Linked DNA regions of Anolis sagrei. The protein of the gene in region 2 purifies or fractionates together with the protein of the main gene of each other region. This does not show direct contact. Links are inferred from orthologs where the notes say so. Each region holds a gene or a part of one and is shown on either strand. Other genes may lie near its edges.

The links. The genes of interacting proteins can lie anywhere in the genome.
Region 1: the proteins of SERTAD4 (region 2) and PPP2R2C purify together in Homo sapiens (affinity purification with mass spectrometry; 3 studies listed by BioGRID and IntAct, counting the BioPlex papers as one, with this or other methods). This does not show direct contact. The link is inferred for Anolis sagrei from reciprocal best matches to the Homo sapiens genes SERTAD4 and PPP2R2C.

The regions. Positions count from the first base shown.
Region 1 is NC_090025.1:104,884,529-104,892,961, reverse strand, and holds the start of PPP2R2C (protein phosphatase 2, regulatory subunit B, gamma), read left to right. Parts: upstream 1-5,392; 5' UTR 5,393-5,722; coding exon of another isoform or gene 5,723-5,792; intron 5,793-8,433. UniProt on the Homo sapiens protein: The B regulatory subunit might modulate substrate selectivity and catalytic activity, and might also direct the localization of the catalytic enzyme to a particular subcellular compartment.
Region 2 is NC_090021.1:31,232,726-31,240,290, forward strand, and holds the start of SERTAD4 (SERTA domain-containing protein 4), read left to right. Parts: upstream 1-4,253; 5' UTR 4,254-4,347; coding exon 4,348-4,395; intron 4,396-4,465; exon of another isoform or gene 4,466-4,615; intron 4,616-5,389; coding exon 5,390-5,735; intron 5,736-7,565.

The sequences.
Region 1 (8,433 bases), on a different chromosome or scaffold from region 2:
TGCTAGAACACAGCCATATAGCCCAGAAACCGCACAATGTCCCAGTGATTCCGGCTGTGAAAACCTTCAACATTACAGTGGAATATGCTGTTGCAGAGCATGGTATAGTCTCCTTCTCTGGAGACTTTTAAGCAGAGGCTGGATAACTATCTATCAAGAGTGCTTTGATTGTGTTTTTTCTGAATGGCAGGGGAGTTGAACTGGATAGCCCTTCTGACCTCTTTCAACTCTGATTCCATGAAATATTTAACATGGCTAATACGTTGTGGCCTTCTCTTCTGCAGGCTAAATATACCCTGCTCTCTAAGCTGCTCCTAATAGGGCTTGGCATCCATAAGTTTTACCATTATGGTTATCTGCCACTGGATATTTTCCAGCTTATTAATATCTGACCAAAGCAGAATAGAGTGCTACTATTATTTCCCTTGCTCTATACATATTTCTATTGTTACAGCCTTGAATTGATAGGCTTTTTTAGCTGTCACATCATACTATGTAATCATATTCACCTTATGGCCTAATAAGACTGCTAGATCTCTTTCTCATCTTTCTCATCTACTGTTGTTAGTGTCACTCATCCTGTATCTATTAATTTTGTTTTTTCTGTATTACATTTCTCTGCGTTGAAATTAATTTTGTTAGTTTTTCCCTCAGTTCTCTGTCCAAGAAAATCTAATGGTTCTTAATATGCTAAAGAATAGATACAAAGATCTCAAGCTGATGGACTTTCTCTTCCAAGAGGGCCAACAATTTGATTTTGCAGCAGTTGTAGCTACCCACATCCGCAGGCAAAAATACATACATATATACATACGTATTTACTATCAATGTTCAATAGCTTTAAAGTAGGCACTGAAGCAGAACTCTGGGTCTTCTGCTCTGGGTCTTCTGCTTGAAAAATTAAATTTGAATCTATACTACTGAATGACTTTTGGGTAGCACTGATAATACCTTTCGGTAGCCGGAAAGGCTATCTCTCTCTCTTTTTTTTTCAGTCTCCCAATTTTTTTTTATTTGATACATCCCAACAATCAACAAAATTTTGCCATACAGGACTTATTTCAATATACATAATTCCAAAAGTAAATATTCCTTAAATGACATTTTATACATTCCTTAGTTATGTATCGCTCAACACCCCTGCCCTCCTCCCAGTACAAATCAGGACAAAAGTCAGAACAAAAAATAAATAACAACACTAAAAAGAAGGGAAATCCAGACAAGAATCAATCAGCGCCAGCTAACACCTATAAATAAAGGATTCTCCAGGCAGGAAGCAGCCAGGCTTTGAAGCTGCAAGGTCATTAAATGCTAATCAAGGTGGTAAGTTACAACATTCACACTTGCCTTCAACAGACAAGAGTTCTTTCTCCCACCCTAGACATTCCACAGATATATAACCTCTACTTGTCTAGTTTCCTACTGACCCCTCAACCTCTGAGGATGCCTGCCATAGATGAGGACAAAACATCAGGGGATGAGGACGAAACATCAGGGCCATACAGCCCGGAAAACTCACAGCAAACTACTATTTAGTTTTTATATGGCAGTGAAGATGGAGCCTTTGTGTCCAGTCAAGAGTTGACCCTTGCTGGGGTATAGTAAAGGTAAAGGTTTCGCCCTGACATTAAGTCTAGTCGTGTCCGACTCTGGGGTGTGGTGCTAATCTCCATTTCTAAGCCGAAGAGCTGGCGTTGTCCATAGACACCTCCAAGGTCATAAGGCCGGCATGACTGCATGGAGCGCCAGTACCTTCCCTCCAGAGCGGTACCTATTGATCTACTCACATCTGCGTGTTTTCGAACTGCTAGGTTGGCAGAAGCTGGGGCTAACAGAGGGAGTTCACACCGCTCCCCGGATTCGAACCACTAACCTTTTGCTAAGCAAGTTCAGCAGCTCAGCAGTTTAACCCACTGTGTGTCACGTTGCCAGGGCTCTACTGTTATTTAGGTAGAGATGAACCAAACAAATACCCAGTTTGTATCAAGTAGTTTAATTAAAACAGCGCTTACTGCATGGAGTGCTGTTACCTTCCCGCCGGAGCGATACCTATTGATATTTATTTATTTATTTATTTTACTTGTATACCACTACTCCCGATTTGGCTCGGAGTGGTTTACAGCAGATTAAAACAATACAATTAACTTTAAAATACAATAAAAACAAGAACAGACAGAGTCTCAAGCTATTCACCCATCAAAAGCTTGTTGGAAGAGAAAGGTTTTACAGGCTTTCCGAATAGCAAGGTCTCGGATAGATCGGGTTTCAACAGGCAAGGCATTCCATAAATAAGGGGCTACGATCGAGAAGACTCTCTGCCTAGTAGAGGACAGATGATAACTCCGGATGTTGGGGACTTTCAGCAAATTTTCAGTCTTCGGACAGAAGTAATCTCTGGGGTTGGTAGGGGGATAAGCGGGCCCTCAGGTATGCCGGCCCAGACTAAATAAGGCCTTAAAGGTTAATACTGGCACCTTGAAAGTAATCCGGTACTCAATTGGTAGCCAGTGCAGCTGTTGTAGAATTGGGGTGATACAACACCTCGCCAGCACCCCAGCAAGAAGACGAGCCGCCGCATTTTGCACCAGCTTCAGTTTCCGGATCACTGACAAAGGAAGGCCAGTGTAGAGGGCGTTACATCTACTCACATTTGATCTACTCACATTTGCATGTTTTCGAACTGCTAGGTTGGCAGAAGCCGGGACTAACAGCAGGAGTTTACACAGCTCCTCAGATTTGAACTTGTGACCTTTCAATCAGCAAGTTCAGCAGCTCAGCACTTTAACCCACTGCGCCACCGGAATCCCTTGTCTGCTTGAGGCAAATGTGAATGTTGCAATAATGGTCACCTTGATTAGTATTGCATGACCTGGCTCGAGAGCAGTACGTGTGAAAAAGATCTTGGAGTCCTCGTGGACAACAAGTTAAACATGAGCCAACAATGTGATGTGGGGACAAAAAAAGCCAATGGGATTTTGGCCTGCATTAATAGGAGCATTTCTCCTATTTCTCATGCCAGTAAGGTAATGCTCAAGATCCTGCAAGGAAGACTCCAGCAATACATGGAGCGAGAGTTGCCAGATGTTCAAGCTGGGTTTAGAAAAGGCAGAGGAACGAGAGACCAAATTGCCAATATCCGCTGGATAATGGAGAAAGGCAGGGAGTTTCAGAAAAACATCTATTTCTGCTTCATTGACTATTCTAAAGCCTTTGACTGTGTGGATCATAATAAATTGTGGCAAGTTCTTGGTGGTATGGGCATACCAAATCACCTTATCTCTCTCCTGAGGAATCTGTACAAGGACCAAGTAGCAACAGTCAGAACTGACCACGGAACAACAGACTGGTTCAAGATTGGGAAAGGCGTACGGCAAGGCTGCATACTCTCACCCAACCTTTTTAACTTGTATGCAGAACACATCATGCGATGTGCGGGGCTTGATGAATGCAAGGCTGGGGTGAAAATTGCTGGAAGAAACATTAACAACCTTAGATATGCAGATGACACCACTCTGATGGCCGAAAGCGAGGAGGAGCTGAGGAGCCTTCTAATCAAGGTGAAAGAAGAAAGCGCAAAAGCTGGGTTGCAGCTAAACATCAAAAAAACCAAGATTATGGCAACAAGAATGATTGACAACTGGAAAATAGAGGGAGAAAATGTGGAGGCCGTGACAGACTTTGTATTTCTAGGCGCAAAGATTAGTGCAGATGCAGACTGTGGCCAGGAAATCAGAATACGCTTACTTCTTGGGAGGAGAGCAATGTCCAATCTCGATAAAATAATAAAGAGTAGAGACATCAGACTGGCAACAAAGATCCGCCTAGTCAAAGCCATGGTATTCCCTGTAGTAACCTACGGATGTGAGAGCTGGACCTTAGGGAAGGCTGAGCAAAGGAAGATAGATGCTTTTGAACTGTGGTGTTGGAGGAAAGTTCTGAGACTGCCTTGGACTGCGAGAAGATCCAACCAGTCCATCCTCCAGGAAATAAAGCCCGACTGCTCATCGGAGGGAAGGATACTAGAGACAAAGTTGAAGTACTTTGGCCACATCATGAGGAGACAGGAAAGCCTAGAGAAGACAATTATGCTGGGGAAAGTGGAAGGCAAAAGGAAGAGGGGCCGACCAAGGACAAGATGGATGGATGGCATCCTTGAAGCGACAGGACTGACTTTGAAGGAGCTGGGGGTGGTGACGGCCGACAGGGAGCTCTGGCGTGGGCTGGTCCATGAGGTCACGAAGAGTCGGAGACAACTGAATGAATGAACAACAATAGGAGCATAGTGTCTAGATCTAGAGAAGTAATGCTACCCCTCTATTCTGCTTTGGTTAGACCACATCTGGAATATTGTGTCCAATTCTGGGCACCACAATTCAAGAGAGATATTGACAAGCTGGAATGTGTCCAGAGGAGGGCGACTAAAATGATCAAGGGTCTGGAGAACAAGCCCTATGAGGAGCGGCTTAAGGAACTGGGCATGTTTAGCCTGAAGAAGAGAAGGCTGAGAGGAGATATGATAGCCATGTATAAATATGTGAGAGGAAGCCACAAGGAGGAGGGAGCAAGCTTGTTTTCTGCTTCCCTGGAGACTAGGACACGGAACAATGGCTTCAAATTACAAGAAAGGAGATTCCATCTGAACATGAGGAAGAATTTCCTGACTGTGAGAGCCGTTCAGCAGTGGAACTCTCTGCCCCGGAGTGTGGTGGAGGCTCCTTCTTTGGAAGCTTTTAAACAGAGGCTGGATGGCAATCTGTCAGGGATATTTATTTGTCGTGTCAGGGCAACCAGGTAATTATATTACATTTCTAACAGAACAAAACAAACAAACAAACAAACAGACAAAATACAAAATTTGTGAGTTGGTAGTTGATTAAATGTCCTTTGACCAGTATTAGAGTGCTTCTGGTGTTGCTGCAAGAAGGTCCTCCATTGGAACTCTCTGCCCCGGAGTGTGGTGGAGGCTCCTTCTTTGGAAGCTTTTAAGCAGAGGCTGGATGGCCATCTGTCAGGGGTGATTTGAATGCAATATTCCTGCTTCTTGGCAGGGGGTTGGACTGGATGGCCCATGAGGTCTCTTCCAACTCTATGATTCTATGATAAATAAATAACCTTGCAGCTTCAAAGACTGGCTGCTTCCTGCCCAGGGGAATCCTTTGTTGGGAGGTGTTGGCTGGCCCTGCTTTTTGAGTGTTGCTAAGCACCAATAGGACCCAAGAAGCCCATTTCCCAAAGCCTGAGATTGGGCCCTCTTCCAAAATGTGGAGCCTTTGCTTCCGGGCAGGCGAGCTGGCCTTGGGATGCGCATCCCCTCTCCCCCCACCCACCCGTTTTTTTTTTCCTCCCAGGGACGCCGCTCCTGATTGGCTGCCAGGGTCCTGGGGGGCGGGGCCTGCGGGAATTGCAGCAGAGGCAGATGACAGCAGCAGCAGGAGCAGCATCCGCCACTGCAGCCCGCTTCTGCCAGGCGACGTCTGCTGCAGTCTGCTGCCTTCTTCTTCTTCGTCGCGCGCGCCCTGCTTAGCGCGTGGGAGCCGCCCCGGCCTTGCTGAAGCTCACCATGCGGCGCGAGCCTTGCTGCCCGTGCTAGGCGTTGTTGGCGGGGGAAGCAGCCGGATCCGCCGCAGGAGGAGGAGCAGCAGCATGGACGGTGCTCTTGCGGCGACCTCTGCCGATTCCCCGGGTCCGCTGCGGAGGGGCATGCTGAGTAATCCTGCCGTCAATGGGCGAGGACACGGAGACGCCGCAGATTAACCATGGCTTCCTTCGCGACCACAACTATGTGACCGAAGGTAAGCCCCTTCTTGGGTTGATGCCACATTATGGCCTCTCCCCTTCTCTTCACTTGCTGATGCTGCAGCCACCCCTCCTTGGAGAAGGTGCCTTTGGGGGGAATCCCTCCATAGAAATGCCTCTTTTTTGCATCTAGAACCAAACTAAATGAGTCTTAGGCCTCATCAGCACTGTCATGATCATGCAGAGCAAACTGGGTTATATATTGCAACATAAGCTCATCTCACTCAATAATATGAGTATAACTGCATTACATGGCAGTGTAGATGGGGCCTTGCATGAGGAGGCTTCGCACTTCCTACCTGCAAGGTTATGTAAAGGCTGTCCGCGTGTGTGTCGGATGCTGAGCCGTCTTTCTTCGATGGTAAGACGCCACTGAATGTATGGCGCAACCACATTTCGGTGCCACCACCAAAAAAATGCAAAAGATGTCATCCAACATTTATTTTTAATTTTTTTATAATATTTTATTTTATTTCAAAAATACACCAACCATATGAAATATTTTCTACCGAATGGAGGAATTGTGTGAGATCAAAATGTACATCAATTAATTCTGCTTATACCTGAAATCAACAATAATTCACTAAAAAAATCCAATTCTAAATCTCCTTTTAGACTGTCATATGATCTACTTCAAATAGATAATCTGGATTTTTTTTCTGGCATTGTCGAAGGGATTTCAGGCCCCTTCCACACAGCTGGATAAAATCCCACTTTGTCTGCTTTGAACTGGAATATATGGCAGTATAGACTTAGATAATCCAGTTCAAAGCAGATGCTGCCTGGATATTCTGAGCTATATAGCTCTGTGGAAAGGCCCTCAGATATATCCAATTTTTAGACATGCCTTAGAATTGAAAAAAATGCAGTATAGGCAAACGACGTTTCCTTTGGTCTGCAGTACTGCAAAGCTTCCCAGTGTAGGGCTATGAAAATGATTTTTAAAATGCACACCAGCCTGCCTGCGTGATCGGGGTTGTATGGAGTTCTCTGCCAGATATGTTCTGTTGAATCTGGAATATGGTGGTCTGTGGAGCTGGCCAGCTTTTTCTTACACTGTCACGCTAAATTTTCAAAATATCTTACATTGGTCTGTGTTTGATTATATATCTATATAAATAAAAATGTAATGTTAGTTTGTGGGATTAACATAACCCAAAAACCACTGGACGAACTGACACCAAATTTGGACACAAGACACCTAACAACCCAATGTATGTCCTTCACTCAAAAAATTGATTTTGTCATTTGGGAGTTGTAGTTGCTGGGATTTATAGTTCACCTACAATCACAGAGCATTCTGAACCCCTCCAACGAAAGAATTGGGCCAAACCTCCCACACAGAACCCCCATGTGGGCCACAGCAACGCGTGGCAGGGGACAGCTAGTATCTATATAAATAAAAATGTTAGTTTGTGGGATTAGCATAACTCAAAAACCAATGGACGGATTGACACCAAATTCGGACACAAACAACCTATCAGGGCAACAAGTGACCATCACTTATAAAAACACTGGAAAACACAGCAGAAGGGACTTAAAAGCCAAAAAACAGAAAATTACATTACAACACATGCACAAAACCACATATATATTTGCAAACACACATATACATAAATATATACACTCACATATACATACACAAAACGCATATACACAGACTGGGCCACAGCAACGCGTGGCAGGGGACAGCTGGTGTGTGTGTGTGTGTGTATGTATATGTAAATTTGATTTATAAACCACCCTATCTCCCCATGGGGACTCAGGGCAATTTCCAGCGAAGTAACAAAATGGCAAACATTCAGTGCCAAAAACAAACAAATAACAAGTCAAAACAGTGGATAAAAAAATCTCAATATAAGATTAGAAATATAACCGAAAAAAACCTGAAAATTAAACATAAATAAGCATGCGCGCGCACACACACACACTTATATTATAGATATACACACATACATGTGTGTATATATATATATATATACACACACATATATAATATATACACACACATATATAATATATACATACACACAGGGTGTGTGTAGTTTCCAACAGACCTCACAACCTATGAAGATGCCTGCCATAGATGTGGGCAAAACGTCAGGAGTGAATTCTTCTGGTGCATGGCCACACAGCCTGGAAACCTCACAGAGACCCAGTGATTCCAACCATGAAAACCTTCGACAACACATTATATTATATATTTTATTATAATGTATGTGTGTGTGTGTACACACACACACACACATATATTATAGACAATATGTTTGAAAAGCTAAACAATTGGGATATATGCTGTAAGATAGCCGTCTGCAGAGGAAATTTGAGCTCGCATTTTAAAAAGCAGTAAGAGAAACATAGTGCTTTGTGACATTGCTTCTGAGATGCTAGCCGCATCGGGAGCAGCCTTGCAATGCTGACTCAAACCATTGGTCCAGCTCAGCAGAAGGACTGGAAACAAGGACTGGTGAGAAATCAGCATGGCCAGCTCCTCTAAATGCCCATCCAGGAGCCCTGGCCCTGTTTCGTTTCTGGAATGAGTTACAGTCGGGTGTGGTGTGTTCCGTGTCCTTCGTCACTTCTGTTCACGTGTTCCATTTTGTGAGCTCACGACAAGTTCATGACAACTTCTGTGTT
Region 2 (7,565 bases):
ACAACCCTGTCATACGCCTTTCCCAATCTTGAACCAGTCTATTGTTCCATGGTCAGTTCTGACTGTTGCTACTTGGTCCTTATACAGATTCCTCAGGAGACAGACAATGTGATTTGTTATGCCCATACCACCAAGAACTTGCCACAATTTATTATGATCCCATCACATAGTGGTACAAATATGTAAGAGGCAGCATGACTTGACATTCCTTCCGCTTATGGAGCTAGCGCCAAACTCAGGAATACAGTATTTTATTTATTTATTAGTTATTATTTATTAATTTATATCCTATCTTTCTCCCTGTATAGGATTCAAGGCAGATGATGATGATGATGATAATAATTTTTATTTACACCCTGTCACCATCTCCCCAAAGGGGACTCAGGGCGGCTAACATGAGGCCAAGCCCAAAAATACAATATAACAAAATAAAATACAAAGCAAATAAAGTAACAAAATAAAATAAATAAAATAACAGAATAAAATAAGCAGTGCCAAATAACATAGTGGAAAATAAAATACAATGGGTGGGCCAAATGCACAAGATAAAATGATAAAACCCTAGGTGAAATAGGAGTGGAAAAGTGTATTTGTGTGGGAGGAGTTCAAAGGGATGAACAGTGGGGTTAGAGCTTCATTAAGGGCGGGGAGAAAGTGCATCATGAGAACAACTCTGTAGATGAAACAGACAGAAATGGAAGATATGGTCACTCTCCAAAGGCACATCGGAAAAGCCAAGTCTTTAGATCTTTCTTAAAGGCTGCTAGAGTGGGGGTTTGCCTAATCTCAACGGGTAAAATAGATATAAATGTAAAAAATAACAATTAAAACAATTATTGTAAAAACATTAAAAAGGAATTAAATATATTTAAAATATATTTTCGATTTTAAAAATTGTGTGAGAAGTGACGAGAAACTGCAAGTTGCTTCTGGTGTGAGAGAATTGGTCATCTGCAAGGATGTTGCCCAGGGGACACTCGGATGTTTTGATGTTTTATTATCCTTGTGGGAGGCTTCTCTCATGTCCCTACAATGGGGAGTTGTAGCTGATAGAGGGAGCTCATCCGCGCTCTCCCTGGACTCAAACCTGTGACCTGTTGGCCATCTGTCAGGGGTTCTTTGAATGCAATATTCCCGCTTCTTGGCAGGGGGTTGGACTGGATGGCCCATTAAGTTTCTTCCAACTCTATGATTCTATGATTCAGTTCTGCCGGCACAACACAACCCATGGCACCACTGGGGGCTCCTCGATAAAAGATAATAAACATTAAAACATTTTAAAACACAACTTTTCTTATGAACATCTTATAATTTCCTAATTAAACATTCAAGATTCAAAAGTTTGCCTAAATAAAAATGTCTTCACCTGTTAGTGCTGTGGTTCCCAACCTATGGTCCAGCGACCACCAGTGGTCTGCAAGAATGAAAATATGGTTCCTGGCCTCACCATTACTACACCGTTGCTTCAAAACCACGTGGCAACAAGAGCAACTAGTGTGGAGGCAACAGGGATGTCGGGTGGGGAGAGGCTGACTACCCATGAAAGATTGCTGCTACCACATCAGGTCTAGATTATTAAATATGGTTTTCTGTGGGCGAGCAGATGGCGACTACTGGATGGCATATGTTCTGCATCAGAAACTAGAGCTTATGTGGTCTTATCCACTGCAATTTTCCAAATCAGCACCCCAAATAACCAAACCAAATCTAAAGTTGACCAGTTTGCTTAAACTGTTTTTATATGTTTTGTATAATGTGATATAGGCATCGAATCGTGCCTTTGCTTGTAAGCTGCCCTGAATCCCCCTCGGGTGTGAGAAGGGCGGGGTAGAAGTAATTGAAATTGAAATAAAAAATTGATTCTTAACCCTTTTGGGACTAATATTGGAGAGTGGTCCCTGGTCAAAGTGGTCCCTGCTCAAGTGGTCCTTGGTTGGGAATCACTGGCGTAGGGATATTGTGGCTCTCACTGTACCTCCTTGTGGAGAATTCCTTCAGAGAACTGGTTTGTATGACTGTTTTTATAATTTAATTTAATTTATAATTTAATTTACACATTTTACAAAAATAAAAAATGAGTCCCAAAAATAAAAAACGAGTCTGCCTTCAAGTTGCCTGTTTACTTATGGAGAACCCATGCATTTCATAGGGTTTCCTTAGGCAAGGAATACTCAGAGGTGGTTTTGCTGGTTCCTTCCTCTGAATTATAGCCTACAGCACCTGGTGTTCGTTGGCGGTCTCCCATTCAAGTACACCCAAATGCTATTAAAATCGGTGGAACAAGTAGTGGCAAGTAACCTGAATTTAATCAATTTCAAAAGAAATTAACCATGACTAAGTTGTTCTGAACTAATATCCCTTCCTAGGAAGAGTGGACTGTGATGAGAAAACAGAATTAACAAAGTGGTTTTTTTTAAAAGGAAGACATATCTAATATATTCCTGTGTGGGAAACATTTCCAAAATATGTTAAACAATGAGTGGTGGCTACATGACCATTTCATAGCTTGCTGGACAACATAATGGGTTAAGGAGTACTTTATTGGTGGTTTGCTGTGACTTTTTCATGCTGTATGTCCATGTTCCAGAAGCATTCTCTCCTGACATTTCATCCACATTTATGGTAGGCATCCTCAGAGATTGTGAGGTTTATATATCTGGAATGTCCAGGGTGGGAGAAAGAACTCTTGTCTGCTTGAGGCAAGTGTCAATATTGCAATTGGCTACCTTGATTTGCATTTAATGGCCATGTAGCTTCAAAGCCTAGCTGATTGCTGCCTGGGAGATCCTTTGTTGGAAGACATTAGCTGGCCCCAATTGATTGTCTTCTAGAACTCCCCTGTTTTTTGTATGTTGCTCTTTATTTACTGTCCTGATTTTAGATGCTGGTAGCCAGATTTTCTTCATTTTCATGGTTTCCTCCTTTCTGTTGAAATTGTCCACATGCTTGTGGTCCCTGGTCAAAGTGTTCCCTGGTCAAAATGGTCCCTGGTCAAGGTGGGCCCTGGTCAAGGTGGTCCCTGGTCAAGGTGGGCCCAGGTCAAGGTGGGCCCAGGTCAAGGTGGGCCCAGGTCAAGGTGGGCCCAGGTCAAGGTGGGCCCAGGTCAAGGTGGGCCCAGGTCAAAGTGGGCCCAGGTCAAAGTGGGCCCAGGTCAAGGTTGGGCCCAGGTCAAGATGGGTGCTGGTCAAGGTGGGACCTGGTCAAGGTTGTCCCTGGTCAAAAAAAAGGTTGGGAATCGCTGCTATATAGGATCTGGGATATTATACTTTCAGAGAATCTGAATCTATTACATTCAAGATTGTGAAGGATGTTGAAAGATAGACAACACGTAAAGGAGTCATGGGCAAACTTGGGCTCTCCAGGTGTTTTGGACTACAACTCCCACCATTCCTAACAGCCTCAGACAGCTACGTTTTTCGCATCAGCCTGGAGAGCTCAAGTTTGCCCAGATCTGTTAGTTATTTCCAAGTGGACATTTTGGGAAGCAGTTGCTTCTTGGCTTCAAGCTTTTTGGCCCCAGCCCAGCCCAGCGCTCAGGGGTGAATGCATCCACACCCCTCCATTCTTGGCTGACATAACAAAGAGATTCTTCAGACATTTGGACAGCAACCAAATTGGGTCTGGCTTCATCTTGATTTATTATTCTTCGTCATGACCCTTCCTGTCCCATTAATCTAGTCCAGGCAGGTTTTGAATCCTTCTCTTGCTGCTTTTCCATTCCCGTCTTGCCCTTGCCCTCCCTCCCTTTCCTTGTGAGTTTTTTTGGCACTTGGGTTCAGAAATATCTGGAATCTTGAAAAGGAAAGACATTTATTCTTGTTTCTTGGAAAGTGGAAGGCAAGGCAGAGGAGGCTGTCTGGTTTGTGTGCCAAAGAGCAGGGTGAAGGACTGTAAGTAGAAGAAAGTGTCTTCTGAAGTGGGTCTGCTTGCCTCTTTCAGAAAGTTTTCCCTCTCTCTGGGTGGATGGATAGAGGGAGGGAGGGAAGGGGCTCCCCTCACTCCCCGGCCTGGCTCTGGCCCCGGAGTTCCTGCTCCTGTTTAATATTCTGCTTGCTCCACTGATGTTGTGCTTGGCTCCTGTGGGACTGCAACTCACGGCTTGAAACCGGAGCCAATTTTCTGTCTTAATCTCAGTGTTTTGACTGGAGGCAGATCCAGTTCAGCCCAATCGGGGCTGGTGGAAACAACGACCTAAGAGTCTCGCTCTGTTTCGCTTGGGGAGGGAAAGAAAAGAGAGAGGGAGAGAGAGGGGGGGGGGGGAGAGAAGAAAGCCAGGGAAGGAGAGGCAGAGAGAAGAGCGAGGCGCACAAACAAGCCATACCATGTCGTTGCTGCTGAGGTCGCTGAATGTGGAGAGAATCAAGTGATCCCTCTTGCAATCTGGGAGCATCGCGGGTTTGTTTGGATTTTACAGCTTCCTTTCTTTCTTTCTTTCTCGGGAGGGGGGGGGGGGAAGGAAAAGGAGGCGGAGGAGAGTGCCTGAATTAAGTGTAGAGAGGGAGAGAGAGCCGTGAGTGGCAAAGGGAGCAAGGCAGAGCCAAGAGAGCCAAGGAGGGAAGGCTCGCCTTTGACAGTAGGGGAAAAGGCGACCAACCTGAAACACCTTCACCTGGAAGTAAGTGCCACCGGGATCCTTGGGGCTGTGTGTAGTAGGGGTCACTTACTGGACCTGCTTCCCCCTCGTTTGTGTTTTGGAGCGGGGCGAGAATCATGCCATTGGAAGGGGAGATGCGGGCAAGGCGAAAGCCACAGACAAGGGGCGGCGGAGAGGGGACAACGGGGCAGGAAGGCAAGCCGGGGTTGAGAAGGATGGAAGGAGGGAGGGAGGAAAAGGGAAGGGAAGGGAAGGGAAGGGAAGGGAGGGAAGGAAGGAAGGAAGGAAGGAAGGAAGGAAGGAAGGAAGGAAGGAAGAGAGGGAGGGGGAGGGAAAGGAAGGAAGGGAAAGGAGGGAAGGGAAAGGAGGGAAGGAAGGAAGGGAGGCGAAGGGTAGGAAGGGAAAGGAAGGGAAGAAAGGAGGGAGGAAAAGGAAGGAGGCGGAAGGAAGGAAAGGAAGGAAAGGAAGAAAGGAGGGAGGGAAAGGAAGGATGCGGAAGGAAGGGAAGCAAAGGGAAGGAAGGTAAAGGAAGGAAGAAAGGAAATGAAGGGGAAGGGAGGGAGGGAAGGTAGGAAGGGAAGGAAAGAAAAGAAGGGAAGGAAAGAAAAGAAGGGAAGGAAGGAGGGTGGAGAGTGGAAGGAAGGGGGAGAGTAAGGGGCGAGCGCGGAGTGCCAGCCTGACTGCCATGGCCGCTGCCTGGCAAAGCAGGGCAGGGCAGGGCAGGGCGAGTGGTTGGTTGCGCCTCGCCTCGCCTCTCCTCCCTGACCCCATCTTTGTCTCCTTCTCCGCCGGCAGATCGGAGGCGCCGCCGCCACCATGACTCTGGTGCTGCCCCTGAGCAGCTTCTGCGAGCCCATTGTCTCCTCCGAGGGAGCCGGAGAGTTCCAGCCGCTTTGGGAGCCGCGTTATTGCACCAAGAGCAGCACCACCACCAGCAGCAGCCCTGCCTCCGAGGCGGCAGCAGCAGCAGCAGCCTCCTCTTCCAGCAGCAGCAGCAGCAGCAGCAGCAGCAGCAGCATCCCAAGCCCCAGCAGCCTCAGCCCCAGCAGCCAGGGCCAGGCGCAGCCTCATCACCAGCCACCTCCGGGCAGTAACGAAGGCCGCTCATTGGGCGGGCCACCCCCAGCAGCAGCAGCAGCAGGTAAGACGCTGGAGAAGCCACAGAGTGGGTGTTCTGACCCAAGGACTCACCAACAATGACTCCTAGGGCCCCCACCTCCATTGCTGTCACATCATCATCAGTACTAATTTTGTCTTCAGACCAACCTTACCAGTTAATTGGGCTGCTGGGACAGACTACACTCTAGCCCAGGTATGGGCAAACATTGAACCTCCAGGCGTTTTGGACTTCAACTCCCACAATTCCTAACAGTCTGTTCATGCTCTGGACGAGTACAATATGTAGTTTACCCCTCCGAGGCCCCTTCTACACTGCCATATAATTTAGATTAGGGGTCCTCACACTAAGGCCCGGGAGCCAGATACGGCCCTCCGAGGTCATTTACTCGGCCCTCACTCGGGGTCAACCTAAGCCTGATACGACTTGAAAGCACACAACAACAATAACAATCCTATCTCATCAGCCAAAAGCAGGCCCACACTTCCCATTGAAATGCTAATTAACTTTATATTTGTTAAAATTGTTCTTCATTTTAATTATTGTATTATTTTACGTGTTTTTTGCACAACAAATAAAATATGTGCAGTGTGCACAGGAATTCATTCATTTTTTTCCAGATTATAATCTGGCCCTCCAACAGTTTGAGGGACTGTGACCTGGCCCTCTGTTTAAAAAGTTTGAGGACCCCTGATTTAGATGATCAAAACAGATCATCCACATTATGTTTGGAACGGGATTATATGAGTCTACACCAGACGTGTGCAAACTTGGGCCCTCCCGGTGTTTGGATTTAGGAAATCATCTGCTGGTGTCTCAAATGTAGACAGAAAACCTTGCCGATTCCCTTCAAAGGGTGATAAGGGCTTCTTGGCTAAGTGACTTGACTTTGAATTGCATCATGAGAAACTCTATGTTGATGAAACATCAATCTCTTATCTAACTGCTGCTCATTAGCTTATCCATTTGTAGTTGCATCTTTCTCCCTTGCATCTTCCTCCCCTGAGCTCATTTCTCCTTCTGACCTTGCATCTCTGGAATGTGACCTGTTAGGAATTGTGGGAGTTGAAGTCCAAAACACCTGGAGGGCTGAAGTTTGCCTGTGCCTGCTCAAGACTGTTTTAATGCTTCAATGGAGGTGCCTCCCAAGAGAGCAACTGCCATAGAATCATAGAAACATAGAACTGGAAGAGACTTGTGGGTCATCCAGTCCAATCTGCTGCCAAGAAGCAGGAAAATTGCCTTCCACGCACCCCTGACAGATGGCCTTCCAGCCTCTATTTAAAAGCCTCCAAAGAAGGAGCCTCCACTTGGGTCAGAAAGTTCCACTGCTGAACAGCTCTCACAGTTAGGAAGTTCTTCCTCACTTTCAGGTGGAATCTCCTTTCCTGTATTTTAAGACATTGTCCCATGTCCTGGTCTCCAGAAAACAAGCTTGCTCCCTCCACCTTGACATATTTATACATGGCCCTAGTCATGTCTCCTCTCAGCCTTCTCTTCTTCAGGCTAAACATGCCCAGCTCTTTCAGCCGCTCCTCATAGGGCTTGTTCTCCAGGCCCTTGATCATTTTAGTTGCCCTCCTGTGGGCCCATTCCAGCTTGTCAACATCGCCCTTCAGTTGCGGTGTCCAGAATTGGACACAGTGTGATTCCAGGTGTGGTCTGACCAAGGCAGAATAGTGTGGTAGCATGACTTTCCTGGATCTAGACATTATACTTTTATTAATGCAGGCCAAAATCCCATTGACTTTTTAAGCTGCCGCATGACATTGTTGGCTCATGTTTAACTTGTTCCCTGCGAGAACAAGTCAAGCCAGGCACCCCTTATTTGGTATCTTTGCATTTCATTTTTTC